Callithrix jacchus: one gene and its partners. The protein of the gene in region 2 purifies or fractionates together with the protein of the main gene of each other region. This does not show direct contact. Links are inferred from orthologs where the notes say so. Each region holds a gene or a part of one and is shown on either strand. Other genes may lie near its edges. The genes, in order: ITGA4, LGALS1 and FN1.

The links.
Region 1: the proteins of LGALS1 (region 2) and ITGA4 purify together in Homo sapiens (affinity purification with mass spectrometry; 3 studies listed by BioGRID and IntAct, with this or other methods). This does not show direct contact. The link is inferred for Callithrix jacchus from reciprocal best matches to the Homo sapiens genes LGALS1 and ITGA4.
Region 3: the proteins of LGALS1 (region 2) and FN1 purify together in Homo sapiens (affinity purification with mass spectrometry; 3 studies listed by BioGRID and IntAct, with this or other methods). This does not show direct contact. The link is inferred for Callithrix jacchus from reciprocal best matches to the Homo sapiens genes LGALS1 and FN1.

What each region holds. Positions count from the first base shown.
Region 1 is NC_133507.1:47,611,643-47,615,918, forward strand, and holds the start of ITGA4 (integrin alpha-4), read right to left. Parts: upstream 3,304-4,276; 5' UTR 3,023-3,303; coding exon 2,826-3,022; intron 2,482-2,825; coding exon 2,360-2,481; intron 1-2,359. UniProt on the Homo sapiens protein: Integrins alpha-4/beta-1 (VLA-4) and alpha-4/beta-7 are receptors for fibronectin. They recognize one or more domains within the alternatively spliced CS-1 and CS-5 regions of fibronectin. They are also receptors for VCAM1.
Region 2 is NC_133502.1:208,676,357-208,680,632, reverse strand, and holds the start of LGALS1 (galectin-1), read right to left. Parts: upstream 3,040-4,276; 5' UTR 2,974-3,039; coding exon 2,965-2,973; intron 1,569-2,964; coding exon 1,489-1,568; intron 83-1,488; coding exon 1-82. UniProt on the Homo sapiens protein: Lectin that binds beta-galactoside and a wide array of complex carbohydrates. Plays a role in regulating apoptosis, cell proliferation and cell differentiation. Inhibits CD45 protein phosphatase activity and therefore the dephosphorylation of Lyn kinase.
Region 3 is NC_133507.1:137,243,560-137,247,835, forward strand, and holds the start of FN1 (fibronectin), read right to left. Parts: upstream 2,708-4,276; 5' UTR 2,458-2,707; coding exon 2,307-2,457; intron 1,461-2,306; coding exon 1,332-1,460; intron 138-1,331; coding exon 1-137. UniProt on the Homo sapiens protein: Fibronectins bind cell surfaces and various compounds including collagen, fibrin, heparin, DNA, and actin. Fibronectins are involved in cell adhesion, cell motility, opsonization, wound healing, and maintenance of cell shape.

The DNA of each region.
Region 1 (4,276 bases), on a different chromosome or scaffold from region 2:
ATTTGAAACAGGACAAATGAAGCTATTTTATACAGAAGATAATACACACACACACACACACACACACACACACACACACACACTCTCTCTCTCTCTCTCTCTCGAAAATGGCTTATCTATATTTACACACACTCTTGAAACTTCTTCATACAAAACAGTACACACACCAAAAACCTAAGAATCCTAAAATATATTACCAATGTATTGTTTTCAGTGTTTTATTTCTAGACTGTAGCCTCAATATCCCTATTTTATAGCTTTAAGCTACCTCTGGACTTATTTTGAATAGAGATGGTTTCTCTACATAAGGAGTAAAAAATATCTGTATTCTTTAGAACATTTTATTAGAAATAACTTCAGTCAACTCTTCGACAAATACTCAGGCTATTACTATCACTATTAATGTTTTAACTCATTGACTAGGAATCTTGTCTTTTTTTTTTTTCATCTCAGTAAGTACCTTATGGATTAGCCTAAATTTTGAGAATTAAAATATCAGTTCAGCTCATCATTTCTAATCAATTATCTTACTCATCAATCAGGTTGATAAACTTTCACATCACTTTATTCATTCATCCATCCAACAAATCTTCATTTAATTCATGTCTATTACATATCTACCTTGTTCACATTTCTCTGAGAACAGTCAAGCCCCATACGACACATGCCCAAATAATTTTTCCTTCCTTCGGCAGGCATTATCTTAAATTTTATATTGTAACATGATTTATCTAATTAAACACAGACATCCAGAAATAGATTCAGTGTCCATCCAGACAGGAAGTAGGCACTAAATATCAGTTATAATGTCATGGATCAGGAAACTATGACGGGACAATGGAAATAAAATTGTTTCCTCCTGAGACCTTGCCAAGATCCTCTGGCAGACTAAGGTTGTCAGCTCCACTCCCTAATTCTTCACCCACAACTGTCTCATGCAATGAAAATTATGCTTTGCAAAATCATTCCAAATGTATGGATCTGTGAATGTTTTAAGCATTCCTCCTGTGATTTTTGAAATTGAGGATGCTTAACAAGAGGCTAGGGTTTATTCTACATGCAACAGAAAACTTGTGGACTTTTATGAGTGCTCCGAATTGAAAGTTAAAATTCCATTATGTTTATACTATATCTGAATTCATTTGAATGAAGGGAACCAGCTTCACAGTTTGAAAAAGAGCAAAGACTATCATGAAATGCAAAAAAAGTTAAAGATTCAATAACTAGCTAATCACAAAGTCTATTTATACCGAAGATAAAGAAGTACCAATTTTGTTCACCATTTACAGATGACCCATCAGCTCAGCAGACAACATATTAGACTGTTCATCTAATTTTATTTGCAGTGAAGATGCATACATGGAAGAAAATGGCTTAGACTTTGGACCCATCCTGACTTTGACTTTAGTTCCCACCTACCATTCATTAGCTAACTTTTAAAAAGATATGTGCAGCTCTCTGAGCCACAGTCCTCATACATAAACCAGGAACAATGTCAACCATGACCCAGGGTTGTTTTGAGGGGAAAAAAATTAAGCAATATGTATAGCAGTAACTAACACTTTGGAACAAGATAGGTCTTGTTATTGAATATCAGTTCCTCTTTCTTTCCCCACTTGCCGGAGTGCAACAAATTTGCCTTTGGCTTTGAAACATGAAACTTCTCCCCTCCTCCAACAGGACAACTTTTCAACTTGTCACAAATCTGAGACATTAAGAAGTGACTGCAAAAAGACTCATTTAACATGAGTTTTGGATGACAGTTTGAGGAATGGAAAATTATATGTTAAGCTTCAGGTTAACTGTATTAACAACGGAGATGACAATTTTCCTTACATTTTCTTTTACACTGCATATTCTAAATAAACCTGTATCACTTTTTTTAGGCCCTTAGGTTAAACGACGGGATATGGGACCTATTCCAACTGGTATTCCCGCTATGCCCCTTAGCCTGTTCTTTAAGAAGGTTGATAGGTCAAAGATGGAAATAAAATTCTCAAGTCTTTGCTTAGCTAGATCCTGTCCTTAATATGCTGAGAGACTCTAAAATGTGCTTTACACATGGCGAGACAGGGAGAGAAATGAAGAGAAGAAGGTATTATAAGATTTTTTTTTCTAGACTAGTTTTGTCAGAGTACTGCAATCGTTGCTATAAGGAAAAGGGAGAACGATATTAACAGAAAGAAGGGAATCTCTTTTTTATTACGGAGGGAAAATGAGATATGAAGTTAAAACTGAAAACGTACCCACTTTAAACCACAAGTAACAGGCGACTTGAATCTTTCCAGGACTTGCCCCATGATGGGGTCCACACAGGAGGTCGGGAGGTCACTAACTCCTGGTCCCACACCCAACTCACCCAGCTGGAGCTGTTCGCACGTCCGGCCGGGATTCTTCCCGATCTTGCATCTGTAAATTGCCCCGGGATGGATCACTGAAGCGTTGGCGAGCCAGTTGGCAGTGGGCGCACCCACTATGAGCCTAAAGCGAGACACGTGCACGTGCTCTCAGACGTGAGCTCTGCTGCCCATTGAGTTTCCCGTCGCAATTGCTATGCAGTCGGCAGCAGGGCAGCTTCCCCACCTCCTCCTCCGCCCACCACCCTCTACTCGAAGCTCCAGGACCTTGCGCCAGAACGCATCCGGGGCGCTGACACCCCAGGATAAGTTATTTTCTCTGGCAGATCTCCAGCGAGCTGGCTCTCGCAGCGTTTCCCTCCTGCCTCCTTGGGAGGGAGGAAAGTTTGAACAGGGCAGGGAATCCCTGGGGCGCCGCTCTCACGCCACTCTGAGCTGCCAAGAGCGCACCGCTAGGACTCTACTCACCATCGGTTCGCCCCGTGGCTGTGCAGCACGACCGAGTAGCCGAACAGCGTGTTGGGGGGGCCCTGGTAAAGCAGCGCGCTCTCAGTGTCCACGTTGTAGGGGTGGCCGGTCGGGACCCCCAGGCATAGCAACAGCATCACTGTCTCCCGGACAGCGGCCCTTCGAGGGCAGGGTCCGAGCCTGGCTTCCCAAGCCATGCGCTCTCGGTGAGGAACATTCAACAGTAAATGGCCACTGCCCCAAAGTTGCACGGGATGCGACGATTGGCCAACAAGGAAGAGCGCCCCAAGAGATGAGGCGCAGCGTGTCCCGCGCCCGCGGGCGAGAGGAGAGGAAGGAGGGAGGGAGGGAGGGAGGGAAGAGGAGGGGAAATTGGGCCCGCTGCAGGCAGAACAACCCGGCCGGCCTGGGATGCAGTGCTCCCGCCGGGCCCAACGCTGTTTCTGCCGCCGGCCGGGAGCTACGGGTGTTCGCGCTTGTTCTCATGAAAGGGCAGCTGGGTGGGGTCCCGGGCGTGGTGCGGAGACGCAGGGCCGGGCTCTGTCTCCCCCGACGCGCGGCTGCAGGGGGCGCTGGGGGACCTCGGCTGCGCAGGACGCGCGACCCCGTCCCGGGCCTCCCAGCCCGCAGAGCGAGGGATGGCTCCCGGCTCTGCAGGAACGGACCTGGATGGGGTACGGGCCTTCCCCGTTTAACCGTAGTTGGTAGAAGCTGTGTGGTCTCAAACCGCGCGCCCCTCGCTGTGACCGCCCAGCCTCTGGGGCCAGCCCGGCGTGGCCCAAATGCCAGCCACAAACTCGGGGACTGGGTCTGCGGCGGGGAGCCGTCCAGTTCTTTCGTCGATAATTAAGCACTGTGTCTTGTTTTCAAGTGCAGGCAACCACTGGAGAAACTATCAAAAGTCGCAAATTAAAATTTAAAAAACCAAAAATCTCGCCGAAGGCCCCTGGGGAACATTTTAGTGACAAAGACGTTATGGTTATTCTCTTCAAGACCCACAGCTCGGCACCCTTCTATGCCCACTTCCTTCCTCCCCACACTTCCTCTGCAGCCCGGGCTGAGTGCGTGAGCGGCTGAACGGCAGGTGGTTTAGACTGTGGCTGACCCCAACAGAGAGGTTGGGGTAAGGAAGCGCTGTGACTTGATTCACTTTAACCAATTCGGATTGCTCCAACTGGTTCTTGATGATCCCCCTTTTCACGAACCCACTCGGTTGCCACGGGACACACCTGCTGTTGGGAGTGTAAACCCCTTTGTGGGGTCAGGGTCCTAATGAGCCTCTGAAATGTGCTGGAGGCCCACGACCCAACACACCTGAACTGGGTAGTGTGTCTCATTCTAATGCAATCCAGGTATGCCCTGCTTTTGTTTTTTTCCCTTCAGCAACCAGAGAGGCAGCCATAGATGATTATTAGACTGATATTTTCAGGAGATGAAGGTCTAGTTTTTTA
Region 2 (4,276 bases):
GTTGGCGTCCCCGTGGGCATTGAAGCGAGGGTTGAAGTGTAGGCACAAGTTGTTGCTGTCTTTGCCCAGGTTCAGCACGAAGCTGGGGGGTAACAGGCGGGCTTGAGGCCACCTCCGCCAACTCCAGCCCCACCCACTGCCTAGTCTGTTACTCAGTATCCCACCTTGCTGGAAGAACTCACCAACGGAGACAAGAAACCTGGATTCTAGCTCTGGCCCTGCCACCTGCTTACTGTGTGAGCTTGAGCTAGTCCCTGCTCCTCTTCCCCAGTTTCCTTATCTGTACAACGGGGGCTGCACAGAAGGCTCCCCAGGGCTCCTGCTGTGCCGAGGGCCCAAGATTCTCATAGTCATTAGCACCCTACACTTTTTGGTCAAGGTCAGAGACTGCCTCCAGATGGTGACCTCTGGGAGGTTAAGTGTCCTGTCTCTACATCTCTGTATTCCTGGTGCCCAGCACAAGTGAGGCACATAGGGGATACTTAGTAATTATGGGGCTAAGGAACCAATAACAGTACATTCGTTGCGTGGTGATAATAGCAATTCCTGCCTCCGAGCGTTTGGCTGAAATGAAATGAGTGCAGGAGAAGTGTGTGGCTCTGAACAGTATCAGCTGATCCTCAGCCTCCTCATCGCCACTGCCCTGTTCACTTCCTGCACACAGCCACCTTCTCCTTGACTGTCTTTCTTCCTTTTTTTCTTTTTTTGAGAGGGAGTCTCGCTCTGTCGCTCAGACTGGAGGGCAGTGGTGTGATCTCAGCTCACTGAGACCTCTGCCTCCTGGGTTCAAGTGATTCTTCTGCCTCAGACTACCAAGTAGCTGGGACTGCAGGCACTCGCCACCACGCCCGGCTAATTTTTGTATTTTTAGTAGAGACAGGGTTTCATCATTTTGGCCAGGCTGGTCTCAATCTGCTGTCCTCGTGATCCACCCTCACTGGCCTCCCAAAGTGCTGGGATTACAGGCGTGAGGAACCGCACCGGCCAACCCCCCCTGTTTTTCTAACAAACTGAGGCTAGGTGAGGTTGGTTGACTGGTCCAAGGTCACATAACTGCTGAGAAAATAAGGTAGTCGGCTGAAAGAACGAGGAGTGAAGGAAGGACCAAAGGACAGAGCGAGTGAATGAATGGGCAGACGCAGGAAGGAGGGACTCGGAGGGAAGCCTCACTCCTCTTCCCGCCCTCCCCAGCAGGTCCCGCCCAGCCCGTAAAGGGGTGGGGGCGGGGGAGCCAAGGTATTATAGATGACGAGGCCACAGCTGGTTTAGTTTAAGAGGCTACAGCAGGAAGGGAGCAGGGGAGGGGGCGGCAATGGTGGGGGCGCCCAGACCCTGCGGGGGAAGTGAGTCACCCAGAAAACGCGGCATCTGCGGCCGGCAGTTAACCCACTCCCAGCCAGGGAGGAGACGTGGGCTTGGCCGGCCACACCCTCCCGGCTGGACCAAGCCCCCCTCCCTGCCGCCCACCACCCCACCTTCACCTCTCACCTCTTGGCGTCAGGAGCCACCTCGCCCCGCACTCGGAGGCACTCCCCAGGTTTGAGATTCAGGTTGCTGGCCTCGAGACCCTGCACAGACAAGCCCCCGCCCAGCCGAGTTAGAGGACAAGGCCTCCACGGTCCCGCAGTATCTAGGGGTGGCAGTGGGCTTGTTCCCGCCCTGCGTCCTCTGACCAAGCCAAGGGGCAGCCTGGGGACGGGATCCGGCTGTGATTTCTAGCCTCTGATGCTCTACGTGGTCCTGGGAAAGTCCCTATTCCCAACGGGGTCGGCTTGAATCTGTAACGTGAATCAGGCTCAAGGAGATTTTGCAGATTGGCTTGGGGATTTTGGACTCAGAGTGGCCTGGGAGGTGGGGTGCTCTGTCCCATCGCAGATGGAGAGGATCAGGCTGGGGAGGGGCCGACACTTGCCCACGGTCACACTGAATGGAGGGGGCTGCCCCTCTGCTGGAGAGGAAGTGGCCAGGGGCGACCCCACCATTCTCCTTCAAGCCCCTCTCTGCGAAGAGGCCCAGAGGCTAGGGAGGAGACCCTGAAGAACGTGGCCCGGCTGCATTAGGGAGGATAGCCTGTGGGCTGGCTCAGGGTTAACAAGATTGAGCAAGCTGCTTGGCACTGCTGCTCCCCGGCACCCGGAGAGGGTGGGCAAGAGTTAACTGGTGTGAGTGGTTCCTTCTGCCAGAAACTTGAACCCTTTCCCTGAGGCCCAAGTAAGAATCTCACCTCCTTGCCATCCCCATCTCCTAGCTCGGGGGTGGTGGTAGGGAATTTCCCCGCCCATCCCCCCACCAACCTGGACACACCACCCTCCACCCCCGACCTCGGAAGGCCCATCCTGGGCAGCCTGTCTCGGGTCCTGGCGACTTTTCAGCGTTCTCTGGAGCAGAGAGTGACTCTCTGCCCTGGCCTGGTGCCTGAGACAGCTGCAAGGGGGAGGGGACAGGAGGCTCTCCGGGGTGGAGGAGGGGGAAAGGGATAGTGGCCTGGGTGTCCCCCAGTTGGCCACACCCTTCTCACTCCCACTTCTCAGAGAGCTGCATAATGTCAACCCTGGGCCAAAATAACTGTGATTTCAGACCCTGGAGGAATCCAGACAATTCTTTTTTTTTTTTTTTCTATTACTATATATATATATTTTTAATGGGATTTCACCATGATGGCCAGGCTGGTCTTGAACTTCTGACCTCAGGTGATCCACCCATCTCGGCCTCCCAAAGTGCTAGGATTACACGCGTGAGCCACCGCGACCGGCTATCCAGACAAGTCTTAACGCAGAGAAGGCTTGAGGGACCACGGCGCCAACCCCCATTTTCTGGACCTCAGTGAGGTCCAGAAAAGAGAAGCCATTGCTTCCAGGACACACAGCTGGAACTCAAACCCAGCTCCCGATCTGCCCAGCTCTCCTCCGGCCATCAGCCCCCTGCCCTATCCCCTGGACCTTGGGGTGGGGTCCCAACACTCACACAAGCCATGATTGAGGGCAGGAGGATGTTCGCGGGACAGGAACACCAGCTGTCTGAAGGCTCCACCCGAGAGAGATGGGTCTCCGGCGCTCCCACCCTTTTAACTGGACCTGACCTGGTGAGCCCCGCCTCCCTGGAAGTTCAGCCAATTGCAAGTCAGGACAGGGCTGGGGGCAACCGGGGGCGGAGTCTATGGAATTTTGAAGCCAGTTCTGGAGCAGAGGTGACCAATTAGAGTGGCGAGCTCCCGGCCCCGCCGGAGTCCAAGCTCCACCTCCTATTCTCCTTCATCCTCCACCTCTCCCCCCACCACCTCCCACCAAAATTGTGCTGTGGCAGAGATTGGGGGGAGCCAGTGGAAAATAGTTTGATGATGAGCTAGGCCCACGAGTTGGCGGGAAGGGGCCTGTGGCCAGGAGGCTGGGCTCAGGGGGTGCCCAGAGATGATGGCTGAGGAGGTGCAGGGTGCTTCAGGGAATGAGAGCTGGGGGAGGCCAGGCCGCACCCAGGCAGGCCCAGGGCGTGGCTCCTGCTGCGCGCGTGTCTGCAGAGGGCCACTCTGACTTAACCACAGGCCCTGACCCCACCCGGAACTTCCCCGGAAGCAAGCACTGCGGCTGCTGCAGCGCTCGGCTCGTTCGCTTTGCTAAGGCTAAAGAAAGGCTGGGCTGCGTGCCAAACCTGAGGCTGCAGGGCTGGGCTCCCTTCAGGGGCCTGCAAGGGATAGTCAAAGCGCCCTGGCCTGACAGCTTCTGGCCTGAGAGTGTCAAGCGCGGGAGATGGTCCAGGGTGGTCCAGGCCAGGAGGGGGTGGGGTCCTAGCTCTGTGTACTGTCCTCTATCTTTTTTATTTTTATTTATTTATATATTTATTTTTGAGATGAAGTCTCACACTGTCACCCAGGCTGGAGTGCAGTGGTGTGATCTCTGCTCATTGCAACTTCTGTCTCCCAGGTTCAAGCGATTCTCCTGCCTCAGCCTCCCAAGGAGCAGGGACTACAGGCCCCCAGCCACCATGCCCGGCTAATTTTTGTATTTTTAGTAGAGATGGGGTTTCACCATGTTAGCCAGGCTGTCCCGAACTCCTGAACTCAGGTGATCCACCGTCCCTTGGCCTCCCAAGCTTCTGGGACTACAGGTGTGAGCCACCACACCCCACCCCCCTGTCCTCTATCTTCACATCTCTCCTCTGAGGCCCAGCACAGCCCTCCTTTCCCCATCTGTTCAGCAGGTATTTCACTGAACACCTACTATGTGCCTGGCCCTGGGCTCTCAGGATTCAAAGCTGAACCCCTTCCAGTCCCCACTCCAAA
Region 3 (4,276 bases), on a different chromosome or scaffold from region 2:
TGCAATAGTGCAGCTTATTCTTCCTCGCCCAGCCCCGATGCAGGTACAGTCCCAGATCATGGAGTCTTTAGGACGCTCATAAGTGTCACCCACTCGGTAAGTGTTCCCTGTGTACTTGTCAAAGCAAGTCTCTTCGGCTGAGGGGAGAAGGAAAGTCCATGTGAGCCTCACTTAGGTACAAGGTTTTCTAGTTCACTAATCCCCTCCAATGGATAACTCGCTTTTCTATTCTACAAGTAGCATGGTACAACCACAAGTATAAAATGAAGTAAGATAAACCGATTTTTTACTCTAGGCTCTAATAAGGCCATTTTTTTTACCTTGACAAATTCTCAAATTTTCTGTAAATTATTCATATTGTAAAGAAATCTCAGGCCCTTAGAGAAAGGCCATATCAAGTACTAACTTATGACAGAGCTAGATTTGTGAACGGTTTCAGATTCCAATCTCTGACTCAGGAAGTCAAACAAAGGTTCACATAGAAAGCAAATGCCTGTAATCCCAGCACTTTGGGAGGCCCAGGTGGGTGGATCATCTGAGGTCAGGAATTTGAGACCAGCCTGACCAATATGGTGAAATCCTGTCTCTACTAAAAATACAAAAATTAGCCAGGTGTGGTGATGTGCGCCTGTAATCCCAGCTACTCGGGAGGGTGAGACAGGAGAAATGCTTGAAGCCCAGAGGCGGAGGTTGCAGTGAGCTGAGATCACGCCACTGCACTCTAGCCTGGGTGACACAGCGAGACTCTGTCTCAAAAAAAAAAAAAAAAAAATGGAAGATTCCCACCTCCCACCAGGTATTGACATTTGTTAATCCTACTATTTCCATTTTCCCTTCATAAATGCTTCTCTGGCAGAGTTGCCATAATTTACAAGAAAGGTATCAATGGTCATACAGGAATGAGAACTTTGAAGTGGCTAGTGGTGTTGTGTTAACTGCAACTGACAAATCAATTTACAATACAGTGCCCAAAGCGTTTTCTGGCTCATAAAGTTAAAGATTTGAGACTGCTTTCTAATAAATTAAAATTTTATAAGCATTTTTTTCTGTGGGAGGACACACAAAATATTTCATTTTCTCATCAAAAACTTTGGGAAAGGAAAGCAAAAAAAAGACTCTAGGAACTAATCTGGGAAAGATTTGTTTCTTTGTTTCAAAGGTAAAACCATGTGAAAAGCAAAGATAAGCAGTTTTTAAATATTTATTAAGAGGAAATGAGAGGTAATTCTATTAGAAAAAAGGTGTATGTAGTTTTACTTACTAATGCAAAGTTTAACAGTGAGCACTTCTTCTATTAAAAGATACTAACTATGGGGCTTGTGGTCACTTACCTTCAGGTTTACTCTCACAGTTAAAACCTCGGCTTCCTCCATAACAAGTACAAACCAAGGCATTGCCCAGGTAGGTCCGCTCCCACTGTTGGTTTATCTGATAGTGTTTCCCATTGTCATAACAACCAGCTGCAAATAATTGAAGGAAAAAGTTATTACATTTCCATCCCTCCTTTTCCCCAAATTATGGAATTTTCTTCATGTGAATATTTAGGTATATATTTTTTTCCTTTTAACTTTGCTAAAGGTTATATACAATGATGTCATTTCCATCTGGCCAGTGGTCTACATTAAAAAAAAAAATGTGATTTCAATTGTCTGCCTTCAAGGCAGACAATTGAAATCACATTTTTAAAAGATTCAAGGAACTTCAATATTCTTTTGGAGTAATAGTCAAAAAGGACAACTTTAATCAGGTTTCTCAAGCAAAGGGAGGGTGTGTCTTTGAAAAACTTAAAGAATTCCAACCTCTGTTCTCAGTGAAGTACCCCGAGTGGCCCTAAAGAGCTCAGAACCAATTACATCTCTTCCAAGTTAGTTAGAAACAAGACAGCTATTTCAATAACCCCTTTTCACTCTAATTGTGAAAATATTTGACCCATTATTTAACAGCAAATCAAATAAGTAGTAGTAAGGACCACACTCATCCCATCCGGAAAATTTGTAGGCACGCATTATTTTTCTCTTTAAAGGCAAGTTTTGGTTAATTCCTAGAAAGACCATCTGAACGTGCAGAATTTATCAGAATACGGGAAGATCGCAGAGTGCCCTCCTCCAATGCAGGATCTTATCATCCCAGGCCCTCAGAACCAGCCTGCTCAAAACTACATCCTTTTGTGTGCACAGCTGGTTTCTCTCAGCAAAGCGCGCACACACTCACGCACACGCTCGCGCACAAAACTTCAGCCCCAACTTTGGTCGGCTTCAGAGTCCCAGCCCTGCGGCAGCCTGTTTCAGCCCGCGGTCGGTACTCACGCTTGCTTTGACTGACAGCCACCGGGGACGGGGGCTGAACGATCTGCTGAGCCTGCCTCTGGCTCCTCGAGGCTCCCGTGAAGGGCACTGCTGTCCCCAGGCATAGGGCGGCCAGCAGCAGCCGCAGCCCGGGCCCCGGACCCCTGAGCATGTTGAGACGGTGGGGGAAAAACGCCCTCACCCGGAGGCGAGTGGCCACCAAGACTGGGTCCCTCCGAAACCTGCGGGAAAAATCCCTTCCAATGCCTCCCGAGGGGTGGACCCCTCCAAGAAGGTGGGGGCCAGAGGGTGGGGAAGGGGACGACTGGAGAGGACCAGAGAAGTTGTGGCTGCAGGTCCCCTCTCCCCGCTCGCGCCTGGGGTTCCCTCTCCTCCCCCGGTGCAGCACAGCCGGCGCGGGCGGCCGAGCCCCGGGAGCCCGGGCTTATATTGGACGGTCCTCCCCGCCCCGCCAGAGGCCCGGGGCGCGGGGAGTAGAGACCCGCCGGGCTCCCCCCCGCCCCGCCCGCCGCAGCCGCCGACCGCGCGCCGATTGGCCCGGGCTCCGGGTGACGTCACGGGTGCCTGTGGGTTCGCAGCGAACAAAAGAGATGCTGATGGCCCGCCAAGACTGGGGCAAGACAACTTTTTTTTTTTTCGGTTTCCTTTGCGGTCGTCAAACTTTTTAGGGGATGGGGGAAGGGATGGGAAGCGGCTGGGAGGAAAGGGAGTGGCTGGACTTGGGTGAAGCGAAGGGGTTGCAGGACTCTCCCCCTTCCCTTTTCTTTTTTATTGGGGGTGGTGGTGGTGTTTGAGGACATTGCGTCACCCCTGGTGGGGGGGCGGGAGAAATCTCTGCTTACAGGAGTGTATTTTGTGGGAAGAAAACCCGTAAAACATCCAGACTTTGCAGGCCCGGGACGGGGCCGCCTATCTCCCAACCCTGCCCCCTTTCTTGGGGCTAAAGGGCACTGACTGGGGACTCCCTTATTTTGTCTTCACAGCTCCGTGTTCGGACTTCGCCCCTTCCCAGCGCTGTACCCGTCTGGCTCTGAGAAAGCGCCCGCGGGCGGACGGGGAGCGAAGGGGAACGGGGACCTTTAACGAGCTTCTGCTAAGCACCGGGAGTTCCGCCGGGCGCTTTGCAAGTCCTGGGAAGTTTAGAGAATAAAGTTTTCTTTTGCTAGGACAAAGTAGCAGTTTGCTTTTCTACATATGCAGGAAAGCCTTTCTCTCCTGGGATGGGACGCCCGTTTTCACTGAAAGTAGAATCACTGTGAACATCCTGAAAACTGGAAAGTTGGACGGCTGTGGGAAGAGAAAGGTCTTCGTGTCCTTGCCCACGTCCTCCCTGCCAGTTACACACAAAGCACAGATTTTTTTGTTTGAATCATTAAAAGACGGGTGGGGCGGGGACATCCCATGTCTTGCCCTTCTTTGGCCTCTTTCTTGCGTTTATTTGCCATTTTCTTTTTGCTGACACGTTCCATTACAGAGTGCCCCTTCCCTCCCCCGCCGCCAGATTTTTTTTATATTTCAATTGTTACTGACTCCAAGAGTGTGGAAAGTTCTCGTTTAAGATTCCCCCGTCTTTAACTCTAAACTCAGAGTGGAAAGGGAACCTGAGAAGTCTCGCATTTGGCAACTCATCCCATCAGTCCTATTTTTCAGACAAACACAAGCACAATGGATTTAAAGATTTTCGGGAGGAGGCCACCACTTCCACAGTAAATTCTGAGACCCAAACTGAATGCTTTGCCTTCTCCTGGTGTTAGGAGTGCAGAGATTCCATTTGCTTTGAGAACACGTGAAGCTACTAATAAAATATATTTATTTCTGAAAGGCACCTGTTTTCTCCAAAAGTTTCACCATCAGTAATTGCCATAGGAGTAATTAGTACACTGTGTTCTATAAATTGCCTGACACATTAAAGACACAAAACTAGCATTTCTTTTTATTCATGCAAAGATTTAAAACCAACCAAACAAACA